2 linked regions of the Macaca mulatta genome follow. The protein of the gene in region 2 binds, or shares a complex with, the protein of the main gene of each other region. Links are inferred from orthologs where the notes say so. Each region holds a gene or a part of one and is shown on either strand. Other genes may lie near its edges.

Region 1 (6,258 bases), on a different chromosome or scaffold from region 2:
TGAATATAAAGTTAGCATTCCTCAATTATGTTACATTTTCTACTGGCAAAGGAAGTAGTAAAATGTCTTATAATTGTTCTTAAAGTGCTTTTGTTAGTTTTCCAAATTCTTCATAGAACAAAAGGCAGATGAAAATAGGACAAAGTCCACCTCTCTACCCACTCCGGATATCCGTTTTTATTCTTCAAAATCATTTGCATCATACCAAATTACTCCTTGAAAAAGCAACTCTGGGCCTGGTGCAGTGGCTCACACCTGTGATCCCAGCGCTTTGGGAGGCCAAAGTGGCCTGAGAATCACTTGAGGCCAGCAGTTCATGACCAGCCTCGACAAAATAGCAAGTCTCCATCTCTACAAAAGATAAAGATAAAAATCAGCTAAGCATGGTGGTATGTGCCTGTAGTCCTAGCTACTTGGGACGCTGAAGCTGGAGGATGGCTTAAGCCCAGAGTTCAAGGCTTGCAGTGAGCTATGCTCAAGCCACTGTAGTCCAGCCTGGGAGACAGAGCAAAGACCCTGTCTCTAAAATAAAGAAAAAGAAAAAGAAGGGCCGGGTGCAGTGGCTCAAGCCTGTAATCCCAGCACTTTGGGAGGCCGAGACGGGCGGATCACGAGGTCAGGAGATCGAGACCATCCTGGCGAACACGGTGAAACCCCGTCTCTACTAAAAAAATACAAAAAACTAGCCGGGCGAGGTGGCGGGCGCCTGTAGTCCCAGCTACTTGGGAGGCTGAGGCAGGAGAATGGCGTAAACCTGGGAGGCGGAGCTTGCAGTGAGCTGAGATCCGGCCACTGCACTCCAGCCTGGGCGACAGAGACAGACTCCGTCTCAAAAAAAAAAAAGAAAAAGAAAAAGAAAAAACAACTCTGATGATGGACACTATTTGGATAAACTGATGGTTCCCAGCACAGAGGAATGACTTTGTAGCAGGCTTGGGGGTATCTCTCCTGGAAGTCACCCAAAATGCCCTAGGTTAATCTATTACTCCATTCATCCATGTATCAAGGCCCAATTCCCATCCTCCATGAGGACAGCCCACAGGGATGCTCTCTTCCCTGATTTCTGAAGGTGGGTGACACACAATTTCAGCTTTCTTATGTCATGATGCTAATCATAACTCTCTTGGGCTTATCTCCCCAACCAGGTTGTGGGCGTTTTTTTGTCACCATCTGCTCTCAGTACCTAGCACAGTACTGAACAGACACTGTAAAAATTCAGTAAGCACTTGTTTCACTAAGCATTCTGGCTCAATACATACATTTGCACTGGTTGTGGAGAGAAATGGGGAAAACAGCTTTTCCATGAGCACTCAGTTGTCTCTCCACAAGCCACATGGTAAAAATATCCCATCCAGGCCCTTTCCATTTGGTCAAATGTATGTAAACCAGAATGGGATTACCGCTCCCTTCATTCTGAAGCAAAAATGGCTTTTTGCATCCTCACTATGGTTTACACTTTCTCGTTAAGTGACTCTGTATTTATTTCTCTTTCATTCTGCTTATTTCTCCATGTGACTCTTTAACACAAATACTTTAATTCGGTGTCACCCTAGACCTAAAGTAGTTCTAATTACAAATGTGGCCAGAAGCTATGGCCACAAAATGTAATAAAATGCTTGCTGAATCCAAACTGCTTGCATCTCCACTCCTAGGGTCAGAGTAAGTCAGTGGCCAAACAAGTACTGCAAATTATAAAGAGATAACTACTTTGGGTCATTCAAAATTGTGAAAAGAACTGCCTTGGTAGGTGGAGAGGTTATCACTATCAAAGGTCTTTACAGAGAGGCTTAAGGGCCATATTTTAGGGGAGGCTGAAAGGGGCAAACCAATCCAGCAAGGGGTGGGGCTAGATAACATCCCTTCCAACTTGAAAACTCTAGAAAGTTGAACTTGTCACAAAGCAGAGAAAAGCACTTAACATATTCTAGGCCTGAGTAATTCTGTAGTTGTCCATAGCACTCCTCGGTACTATCTGCATATGGGCCCCTGAGTGAGTTACTGGTCATCTCATTATCAAAGACAGGTATGATGAAGAGACAGAGCTCAGGTGCTACATCATTCATTAACTCAACAAGAATCGTAAAGGTTTACTGAAAAGATAAAATATTGTATGCATCAATACAATTGTATCATACATTGCATTATCAAGGACTATTCAAAGGTATGCTGGTATTTTACAGAGCTTCAGAATCCCCAGAGTCCTTTTGCTCCTTTGTGCAGGCTAATGAGGAAGAGACTGGACTATTAAAAAAAAAAAAAAAAAAAATCAGTTCTGCAGGGCAGGGTGGCTCACACCTGTAATCGCAACACTTTGGGAGGCCGAGGCGGGTGGATCACTTGAGGTCAGGAGTTCAAGGCCAGCCTGGCCAACATGGTGAAACCCCATCTCTACCAAAAATACAAAAATTAGCCAAGTGTGGTGGCAGGCGCCTGTACTCCCAGCTACTCGGGAGGCTGAGGCCAGAGAATCGCTTGAACCTGGGAGGCAGAGGTTGCAGTGTGCTGAGATCACACCACTGCACTCCACCCTGGGTGACAGAGGGAGACTCCGTTTAAAAAAAAAAAAAAAATCAGTTCCTAGTACAAATTCACACGGAGATTTTTGAAGCACATCCAATTTCAATAGCGAATAAAAAAGTACACCAGCACAGTAGAAATCAATATATATATATGAAATTAGGCCAGCAAGTATCCTCGTGTAAGTAAAAAACTGGTGCTCATAGTATCCGTGTTTTTTCTCTAGAAGTTCAGATTGAAAGAAGTCTCACAATCCCAGATCCCTGTTGAAAGGTCTCCAGGCATCGGGTCATGTCTCCCAAAGCCTTACTACACGGTCTTGCTTTCTGGGTGGTTTTCCTAATTTGTGACAAGAACTTGTTTGTAATTTCCCATAGTTGTCAGAGGTTTCAGGTCCTTGCCCAGAAATGGATTTTCTATAGAATCCATCTCGAGTTCCTGAATTTGCTTCTCGGGCTTTACCTACTGTTCAGGATGCCTCTTCATAGGGAAGGGTGGTGCTAGGCAACAGAAAGGAAAGGAGTTCGGGGACTTTGATGGGCAAGGGGCAGAAAAGGGGGGCGTCGACGCTCTAAGAGTTATCAAGACTCCCGATGTTGAAGGGAAGGACACCCCCACAGTAGCTACAGCCCCGCTCCAGGAAGCTGCAGCTGGAAGAACAGGTCTTCCAGCTCTCGGTCCCGAAACCTGGAGGCTGCCCAGGACCCCCCCAACCTCACAGGCACCCGAGCTCCAGACCTTAGCGACAGCCGCCCTCGGTTGCGAGGCCAGTCTGAGGCGCCCGGCGTTCCCACCCCCAACCCGAACTCACAGCCGGTCTCCTTCTTGATCTCCTCGAGCTCTTCGTCCCGCAGTAACGTGGAGGCCCGAGAACCCATCGCCGTGCCGGGAGCTCCTCCGGGAGCAGCGGCGCCAGAAGAGAGGGCGACAGGAGGGAAGGAGGGAGGGAAGGGCGGGCTAGGGGTCAAGAAGGGAGAGGGCAGTGTTTCCACTGCGGACCCAGGAGGGAACCCAGGGGTGGTGCGCTGGGGAGGGCGGCCCCGAGGACCCGCCAATCAGGCGCGAGGCAGCGCCCGGCTCAGGAGTCGACGTCAGCGTTCGAGTTCCAGCCCCGAATGAATCAGCCCAGCTCCAGCCCAAGTCCTGCTGAAGATGGACCCCGCCCCCGGAACCGCAGCTGCCACCGGCCTTAAAGGGGCGATGCCACTCGGGCGCTAACGACGCAATTAAAAGGGCAATTCCATTGACCAACCGTTTTACAACAAACTAACCTGCGGCAGGCAGCGTAGCCTACCTTTTCTCACAGAAATCGAACACTAGGAATCCTACTCGATAGGTGGCACGGATTGCGGAGAGAAACTTCGCGTGGGGGGAACCCTAGGGTGTGCCCCTCGGGGACTGCATGCGCTCTGTATCTTTCCTGGCGGCCGTCCTCCTCCCGGCCGCAGGGGGCGCTGGGGAGCCAGCCTCGGGGCCGCGTGCTGATTGGCTCCTTGGGAAACAGACGAGACTGGACGTTGGGCCGGGAGGGCTGCAGCGTGGGTGCCCGGCGTCGCGGACCTTTCTCCAGGTTGTTTTCAGGCTGTGATTTGATAACCGCCGCCGGGTGGCGTGGAGCGTCCCGAGACTTTTTCCTTCATTGCAGCCCCCCTCTTCTTTTAGTTCTAGACTGAAGTTCGAGGAATTCACCACTTGGCTGAAATTAGGATCCAGATTTCTCAAACTTGCTTCGGAGGAAAAAGCCCTAACGATGGAGGACAGTGAATTCCTAGCTTATGGTCCGCCATTTATTTGAAGTTCCTTACTTTGTCTTAAAAATGAGAAATTTTGCATTTTATTCTCATGGTGTATTGTTTGTTTTGATTAAAAAGGTAGGCCGGACACGGTGGCTCACGCCTGTAATCCCAGCATTTTGGGAGGTCGAGGCGGGCTGATCACCTGAGGTCAGGAGTTCGAGACCAGCCTGACCAATATGGAGAAACTTCGTCTCTACTAAAAATATAAAATTAGTAGGGCGTGGTGGCGCATGCCTGTAATCCCAGCTACTCGGGAGGCTGAGGCAGGAGAATTGCTTGAACCCGGGAGGCGGAGGTTGCAGTGAGCCAAGATCGCGGCATTGCCTGGGTGACAGAGCGAGACTCCGTCTCAAAAAAAAAAAAAAGTAAAAAGCCACCCATTAAATTAGTGCCTACTCTCAGGTGAACCAGTTCTTACTACTTCACCGGCCTTACCCCTTCACACCTGTTTGGTTAGAACCCGTATAAGATATGGAAGAACTGAATTCTGACCGCTGTCTGTTAGAACCTAAGTACCAGGGTATTTTTGTCTTAGCAAGCTTTCCCAGGTCAACTTAGGTTATTAGTTTTAAGTGTTCCTAAGGCTTTACAGCTTAGCCTGAGGCCCCACACGTTCCCTGCAGGCTGAGGTTCTAGTTTGAAGAACTACAGTTTTGTTTTGTTTGTTGTTGTTGCTGTTGTTTGAGATGGAGTTTTTGCTCTTGTTCCCAGGCTGGAGTGCAAAGGCGCCATCTCAGCTCACCGAAACCTCCGCCTCCCGAGTTCAAGCGATTCTCCTGCCTCAGCCTCCCGAGTAGCTGGGGTTATAGGCATGCGCCACCGCCTCCAGCTAATTTTATGTTTTTAGTAGAGACGGGGTTTCTCCATATTGGTCAGGCTGGTCTCGGACTTCTGACCTCAGGTGATCCGCCCGCCTCAGCCTCCCAAAGTGCTGTGATTACAGGTGCAAGCCACCGCACTTGGCCTGTTTTGTTTTTTTGCGACAGAGTCTCACTCTGTCGCCCGGGCTGGAGCGCCAGGGCCTGATAACTGTGCAGATTCGGCTCACTGCAGCCTCCAGGCGGGTTCAAGGGATTATCGTGCCTCAGCCTCCTGAGTAGCTGGGATTACAGGCCCGTGCCACCACGCTCAGCTAATTTTTGTATTTTTAGTAGAGACAGGGTTTCACCATATTGGCTAGGCGGGTCTCAAACTCCAGAACTCAGGTGATCCACCAGCCTTGGCCTCCCAAAGTGTTGGGATTACAGGCGTGAGTCACCGTGCTCGGCCTTAGAGTTATTTTGATGATTGGCGTGCACTTGTCTAACCTAGTGATGTTGTCCTTAATACTCAGTAACATTTTGGATATGTCCGTCTAAGAGCTAAATCACTGGAGCTGCTTTGTATGTTGGAATATGGGTGTGATAGGAAAATTTTGTCAGCCCCATGAATGTCCCTTTTCTCAGTCAGCCTTGAAGCCCATCTCTTGATGCTGACCTTACTTTTTTCCTTCCTAATCTTGAATCTTACCATTTGCAGCTGTCTCCAGTCAAAGCTTTCTTTGCTTCATACTAGTATTTTTTTCTGACTTTAATTTTTTTTTTCTTTAACGTTTCTTTAATTCTCTTATTTTCCAGGTGTTTCACAAACTTTTCTTTCTTGGGTAGCTTTTAAAAGTATAAATTGCTTGAAGCTGGGAGGCGGAGATTGCAGTGAGCCGAGATCGCGCCCCTGCACTCCAGCCTGGCGACAGAGTGAGACTCCATCTCAAAAATAAAATAAAAATGTTTGCCTCTATTAAGCGCTGTTTTTTTTTTTTTTCCAGTTTTACGTATTTTTTCTTTAAAAATCTCCTTTTGCCTGTTGGATTAACTTAAAGAATGATTTTTCTTAGACTCTCTGATGACTTGTTTTATGTTCTATCTGGATGCATAACACTTGGTCTTGCACTAGGCTACAAACATCC
Region 2 (5,725 bases):
GGTGGGAAGGGTCCGGGGTCCAGGACAGGCCCAGGGGTCTCAGCAGGTCCTCCTTGGAGGGCCTGAGCCTGGTGAGGGGGACGGTGCCCTGGGCCCCTCCATGCCCCCTTGGTTCGCCCTGCTTTGTTAAGGGGGCCAGAGCAGCTGCTGGGCCCCACAGTCCACTTAAGGAACGGCCATGATTCTTGGAAAGCGCCGCCCGCCAGGCCACCTTTCACCCAGCCAGGGCCCCCGGGGCGACCTCCGGGCCAGGTGCGACAGGTCAGGCCGGAGACCTCGTCTGTGGGGGACGGGCAGTGCCCGCGGCCGCCACCCTGAGACCGGGCGCGGGCAGGACGGAACCTGGAGGGGGAACGAGGCAGGTGCTGGCTCTAGGAGTCTAAATCCCCAAGCGCTGAGTAGACGGAAGACGTTCCCGCTACTTTACCTGCAGCTCAAAGACCTGGCGAGGGCCTGGAAACGGCGCTCGGCCAGGGCCGCTTGCGGGGCCGGGCCTGCAGCCGCTGCAGGTCTGGCCCTGAGTCCTGGCGCTCGGAAGGTCCCTGAGTCGGTCCCCGGGGAGAGGTGCGGGGCTCGGGGGTGGGGGCCCGGAGCCTTGGGCTGGTTTCACGCAAATCCGTTTTGGGCGAGCCTCGGTTTCCCGGCAGCTGTGGGAAAGGGCGCGAGCGGCCAGCCACGGCGCGCGGGCCCTTCCCGCCCGCGGCTTCACAGCGGCGTCTCCTCCTGCTCCAGCGCGTGCGGCGGTGCGTGGCACGAGGGCGGCAGGGACGCCAGCTTCAGCAGGGCGGGGCGGCGGCGCGCGCGGGGCCGCTGGAACGAGCGCCGGCTGTGCACGCGGCGCGCCGCCGCCGAACGCGCGTGCGCACTCGGCAGTCCCCGGCGCTCCGGCCCCGGCCCCGCCCCCGCCCCCGCCCCCGCCCCGGGTGTAGGCCCCGCCCCCGGCTCGCGCTCCGGCGGCTCTGCGGGCTCGGCCGCGGCGCTCTCGGGGTTCTGCGCGGGCGTGGGCGTGGGCGCGGGCGGGACGGGGCTCGGGGCGCGCGGCCGCTGTAACCGCGCGGGGATCAGGGGCTTCTCCGGGGCGGCGGCGGCCGCGGCTGGCGGCCCGTGGCGCGGGGACGAGCGTCCGGTCAGCGGCGTGTCGGAGCCGGTGTCACCTGCGGGAGAGCAGGGCGTGAGCGGCGCGCGGAGCCCGGGCGCTAGGGCGGGAGTGGCGTCCCCGGGCGGTTTAGCTCTCCCCAAGCCTGGCGGCTCTCGCCTCCCCTTCCGCCGGGCACCCGGGGCTCGGCGTCCGCCGGGGCCTCCTCCCAGGACCCGGTTCGCAGGACAGAGGCGGAAGCAGCAACAGCGAAGCCCCACCCTGGCCCAACCACGTCCCACCGCCGGGGGTCCCGGGACAGCGGCCTTCTCCGTGCAGGAAGGTCCCGCCCCTGGCCCTGCAGCGCGGGAGGTCAAGGTCCCCAAGGGGAAAACCTGCTTCCTCCATCTCAAACCGCCCTGGCGTTCCCCGGGTGCCTCCCAGGCCCCCAGAGGGAGCTCACAAAGCCCAGACCCTGTGGCGCGCCCTGAGCTGGAGGCAGAGCCCGGGTCTGCGGGGCCGGCCCTCCCTGTATCCCTGTGGGAGGATAGGGGACCCGGGGCGTCTGGCTCCCCCTAGCCCTGCTCTCAGCTCCGTGGGAGCGCAGGAGTTGGACTCGCGGACTAGCTTTCGGAGCCACCTAAAGGAAATCACAGGCGGCCCTGGGGCTCTCAGCTCCGTGGGAGCAGCAGAGACGCCAGGGTCTGTCCGGGCTCCTGAGGGAGGTGCGGCCAGCAGGGCGCTAGAGGAGGAAGAGGGGCTGCTGGAGAGAGAGAGAGAGCCAGGTTCAGGTCCAGGGAGGAGGAGAGAGAGAGCGCGAGGCGGAGACCTGGAGGGAAAGGAGCTGCGGAGAGAGGGGTTAGGTGGCAGGAGGCCCGGGAGCGTTACATGTGTGTGGACTCGGGGAGGGTGGCGGGGGGCCGCTCCTCGGGGCCGTCTGCCTGCAGGAAGGAGTCCACCGACTTGCTGCTGAGGCGGAAGGGCGTCAGGCGGCGGAAGGTGCTGGGAGAGTGGGGAATCTGCGTGCGGGCCCTCTGCGAGGGGACCACCGTCTCCCCGGGAGACAGCCAGGGCGGCAGCCTGGCCAGGAGGCTGCGGTCCAGGGCCTCATCCGGAGAAAACACAGGGTTGTCAATTCCTAGGAGAGAGGGCAGCGGCCGGTCAGCCTCCTGGGAGCCCTGGGGCGGCAGGGGAGGCCTTGCGGGGGCCGTCACCTGCTGCGTGCCCTGGAAGGTTAAGGTCACCTGGAATAGGATCACCGGGAAGGTTAGGGTCACGTGCCTTTCAGGTTGCAGGCCCTTGCCCCACATCCATGACCCCACACATCACAGACAGCACAGGCGAGGTCTCCCTTCCCTCAAGACACACCCCGTCTGCTCCCTGCCCGGCCCACGTCTCCTGGGACAGCAGCCTCCGAGTTGGTTGAGGAGGCACTCGAGGTGCCAGGCAGGGCCCTTGAGAACCCACAGGAGACCCCCCCCCGCCAGGTCCCAGTGCCCCTGGTCCAATGACTGAGCTCCCTCCTGGGGCAGCAGGAGCTGCCCCTCCCTGGGCCACGACGCCTGTGCCCTGTCCCCACCTGCAGGGGAGTCGGATGCTGTGTCCTTGGTGACACTGGCCAGGAATTCGATTCCCCCGCTCATCTCCTCATCATAGTTGGGGTGCTCCTCGGTGTCTGAAAGTTCCAAGTCTGGAGGAGACAGGCTGGGATGAGGACTGGGGTCACTAGGGGGCTGTCCTCACAGCCGGTCAGCCGTGTCCATCAGCTCTGTGCCCAGAGGTGCAGGGGGTCGGGACCCACAGAGAGAAGGGCTAAACCGCAGGGCTGGGGGAGGGCAAGGAGGGACCCCACTTGGAGGGCAGCACCCCTGGAACCCCATCCTGGGTGGGTCTGCAGCTGGGGCCCTGACCGTGCCTCCCTGCCTGGGTGGCTGGAGGGTCCTGAGAGGGGAGGGCCCCGAGAGGGGAGGGCTGGGGCTGGGAGGTGGTGGCTCCCAGCATTTCCCGCAGGGCCCCCAGCGCACCTTTCTCTTTGATGGTGAAATTCTGCACAGGGTTCTCCATGGGCAGCTTCCCATTGGGGATGCTGCTGTTTCTCTGTGGGGCAAACGTGAAGCTGCTCACAGACCTCAACACAGCCACACCCGGCCCAGACTGCCCCCACTCCAGGCCCCAGCCCCTTCGAGCCTCCTGGTGACCCGGCCTCACCCGCTTCTGGGCACGCTCCCGCTTGTACATCTTGGCTGCCTTCTTGTTCTGGTTGAGCCCCAGCTTGGTCGACTTGAAGGACTCCAGGCGCTTCCGCATGGTCCTGTGGAAGATTTCCCGGTCCTGCTTCTCGTCCTCCGTGGGCGTGAGCTCGTGCCGGCTGTACAGATGCTTGTACTGCAGGGTTGGGCACGGAGGTCACAGCTGTGCCCAGCACCAGACACTCCCGCCCTCCTGCCGCAGGGGCTGAGCACGGATCCCCCATGGTCCTGGGAGGGGACGAGGAGGCCACCCTACAGGGGTCCCTGTGGGCGCGTCCAGCCCCCAGCCTGCGGGGCCCACCTCCTGCCGCGGCTTGTACAGGTACTGCTGCAGCGTGTGGTGCGTGACCATGTCCTCTGCGTCCCGGATGCTCCGCCGCCGCTGCTCCAGAGACTGCATGTCCAGGCAGACGGCGCTGACATTCTCTCTCCTGCATGGGGACCAGCGCTGAGCCACACAGGCTCCCTCAGGGTGGGGTCTCCTGTGCACCCCTCGCCTTCCCAAGGCGGGCATCCGGCTGGGGTACGGGGACACCTGGCCACCTGGCCAGCCCCTTCTCCCCTCGGGGCTTAGGCTGACTCCCCACGAGGCCTTCCCGGCCTCCGTTCTGAGGTGGATCCCCCTCCTCACTGGTCCCCCTCCAGAGCCCTGGCTGTGAGACTTGGGGACCCTGGCATCTGCACACCTGGCAGAGTGGACCTCCCATGAGAACTGGCCGTGAGCTGTGGAGCCCATGGCTGGAGGGGCAGTAGGGGTGGCATGGGGACCAGGACAGGCTGCTCCTGGCCCGGGGCAAACACGTCAGGCCCGGACCCCAATCCGCTGCTGCCCCTCCCTTTCACCTTGCATCCAGCACTAAGGGAGTCTGGCCACCGCATAACACAGGGGAGCGCTTGCTGAAGGGGACACCCAGCCCCTCTTTCTGCACCCCTCCACTCCCCCATGCCACCCCCAGGCCAGGAGCCACCCCAGCCCCGCCTGTGACTCTCAGCTGGGTTCTTCCCCAGGGAAGCTGCAGGACCGCGGCCACGTACAGGAGGTACGAGACAGAGGCCTCCACGGTGGATGATCGTGGCGTGAAGTCCACGTTGACCATGTTGTCGGTGCTGGGGGAGCGGATGAAGGCCAGGGACCCACGGCGCTCTCCCTATGGTCAGGAAGCAGCCCGGTCAGTGGCCTGAGCAGCCAAGCCCTAGGTCCCGGACCTGCGGCAGCTGCTGCTGTTGTGTGCCCTGGGGGGAAGCGGGGAAGTGCCCAGAGCTCGGGGCCCAGGGAAGGCCTTGAGACCTGAGCCCCAGGTTCTCCCCTCACAGCTGCAGAGGGGAGGAGATGCCAAAACCACGAGATCAGATTTTGAGCCTCTGTCCATCTGTCTGAGGCCACAGCCAGACTGCTGCCTGAACTGGGCAGAGGTAATGCTTGTGGGAGGACACAGTGGTCTGAGTGTGAAGGGGTAAAGCTGCCTAGGACTTGGGGGGTGTCTGGGGAAACTGTCGATATGCGGAATCAGAAGTGGCCCCTGTCCCTGCCAGAGGCCCTAAAACCCCATTGGCCTCATGTCCAGAAATGAATCAGGTCGAGGGAATGGAGCAGAGCCCGATGGGGCACAGAAGCCGCACAGCTGAGTGCCAGAGGATGGGAGTGGGGCTGCCTGTGTGTCCTCAGACCCCACCCGCCTGATGGCAGGCCTGGAGAGTGTGAGGCTGTGGAGGAGTGCAGGGCAGGGTGGGCTTGTGGCTGGAGTCAGGGTCTCCAGGGCCAGCGGGGGCACAGGTGTGGAGGGAACGTCAGCTCACTGCGCTCAGACCTTGCCAGGTGGGCACCATGCCGCCTTGCAGCAGCAAGACGCTCCCAGGAGAGCCCCCGGGGTCGGGCGGGGGCCGCTGCTCCCACTGAACATGTGGCCCCCACTTCACTGCCCACTCTGGGGGGCTCTGAGGGTCATTGTTCTAAGGGCCCTCTGCCTGCTCTTTTGCTTCTAAATCCAGCGTCTTCTGTATGACCTTTGTCCCTCTGTCCCTCTCCTGCCGCCCCGTGAAGACAGCCGTGAGGGTCGGGGGAGCCACAGTGCCAGCTGCCGCTCTGGGCAGGCACAGGCGAGGGCTGGAGCACCTGGGCACATGGGGTCTTTGGAGGGGCTGTTCCCCACACCACTTCCCCTGCCCCTGCCGAGCCCCACACTGTGGGGTGGGGGGTGCAGGGAGAGAGAGCAGCTGCCCTGTGTGAGAGCCAGGAGGGACATCGGGCAGGCGGACGCCACCCCAGCTGTGGAGACTCAGGCTACTGAGTGACCAGGAGGCACCCACGGGCTCCCCACATGCAGCTGAGCCCAGGGTCGTGGTCATGGGTCATGGGTCATGGGTCAAGGATGGTGGCTGGTGGGGTTGGGGGAGAGGTTCA

Evidence for each region.
Region 1: the proteins of SLC9A3 (region 2) and CHP1 are in contact, whole or in part, in a cryo-EM structure (PDB 7X2U), measured with the Homo sapiens proteins. The link is inferred for Macaca mulatta from reciprocal best matches to the Homo sapiens genes SLC9A3 and CHP1. Residues at the interface, in NP_004165.2 of Homo sapiens: Tyr396, Arg397, Met398, Gln400, Glu402, Arg474, Leu475, Asn476, Glu477, Leu479, His480, Gly481, Arg482, Ala483, Phe484, Asp485, His486, Ile487, Leu488, Ser489, Ala490, Ile491, Glu492, Asp493, Ile494, Ser495, Gly496, Gln497, Asn501, Arg504; in NP_009167.1 of Homo sapiens: Arg30, Leu31, Arg34, Leu38, Lys40, Glu49, Phe51, Gln52, Arg53, Ile54, Glu56, Leu57, Ala58, Ile59, Asn60, Pro61, Leu62, Asp64, Ile66, Phe70, Phe83, Leu87, Phe90, Leu115, Phe117, Ala118, Leu121, Tyr122, Leu135, Leu139.

The regions. Positions count from the first base shown.
Region 1 is NC_133412.1:18,583,820-18,590,077, reverse strand, and holds the start of CHP1 (calcineurin B homologous protein 1), read right to left. Parts: upstream 3,534-6,258; 5' UTR 3,396-3,533; coding exon 3,329-3,395; intron 1-3,328. UniProt on the Homo sapiens protein: Calcium-binding protein involved in different processes such as regulation of vesicular trafficking, plasma membrane Na(+)/H(+) exchanger and gene transcription. Involved in the constitutive exocytic membrane traffic.
Region 2 is NC_133411.1:1,569,249-1,574,973, forward strand, and holds the end of SLC9A3 (sodium/hydrogen exchanger 3), read right to left. Parts: intron 4,738-5,725; exon of another isoform or gene 4,639-4,737; intron 4,494-4,638; exon of another isoform or gene 4,473-4,493; coding exon 4,360-4,472; exon of another isoform or gene 4,333-4,359; intron 3,848-4,332; exon of another isoform or gene 3,756-3,847; coding exon 3,626-3,755; exon of another isoform or gene 3,461-3,625; coding exon 3,284-3,460; exon of another isoform or gene 3,173-3,283; coding exon 3,100-3,172; exon of another isoform or gene 2,766-3,099; coding exon 2,655-2,765; exon of another isoform or gene 2,214-2,654; coding exon 1,964-2,213; coding exon of another isoform or gene 1,960-1,963; exon of another isoform or gene 1,655-1,959; coding exon of another isoform or gene 1,155-1,654; coding exon 1,151-1,154; downstream 1-1,150. Other genes in the region: uncharacterized protein LOC114679012, read left to right, coding at 179-1,654. UniProt on the Homo sapiens protein: Plasma membrane Na(+)/H(+) antiporter. Exchanges intracellular H(+) ions for extracellular Na(+) in 1:1 stoichiometry, playing a key role in salt and fluid absorption and pH homeostasis.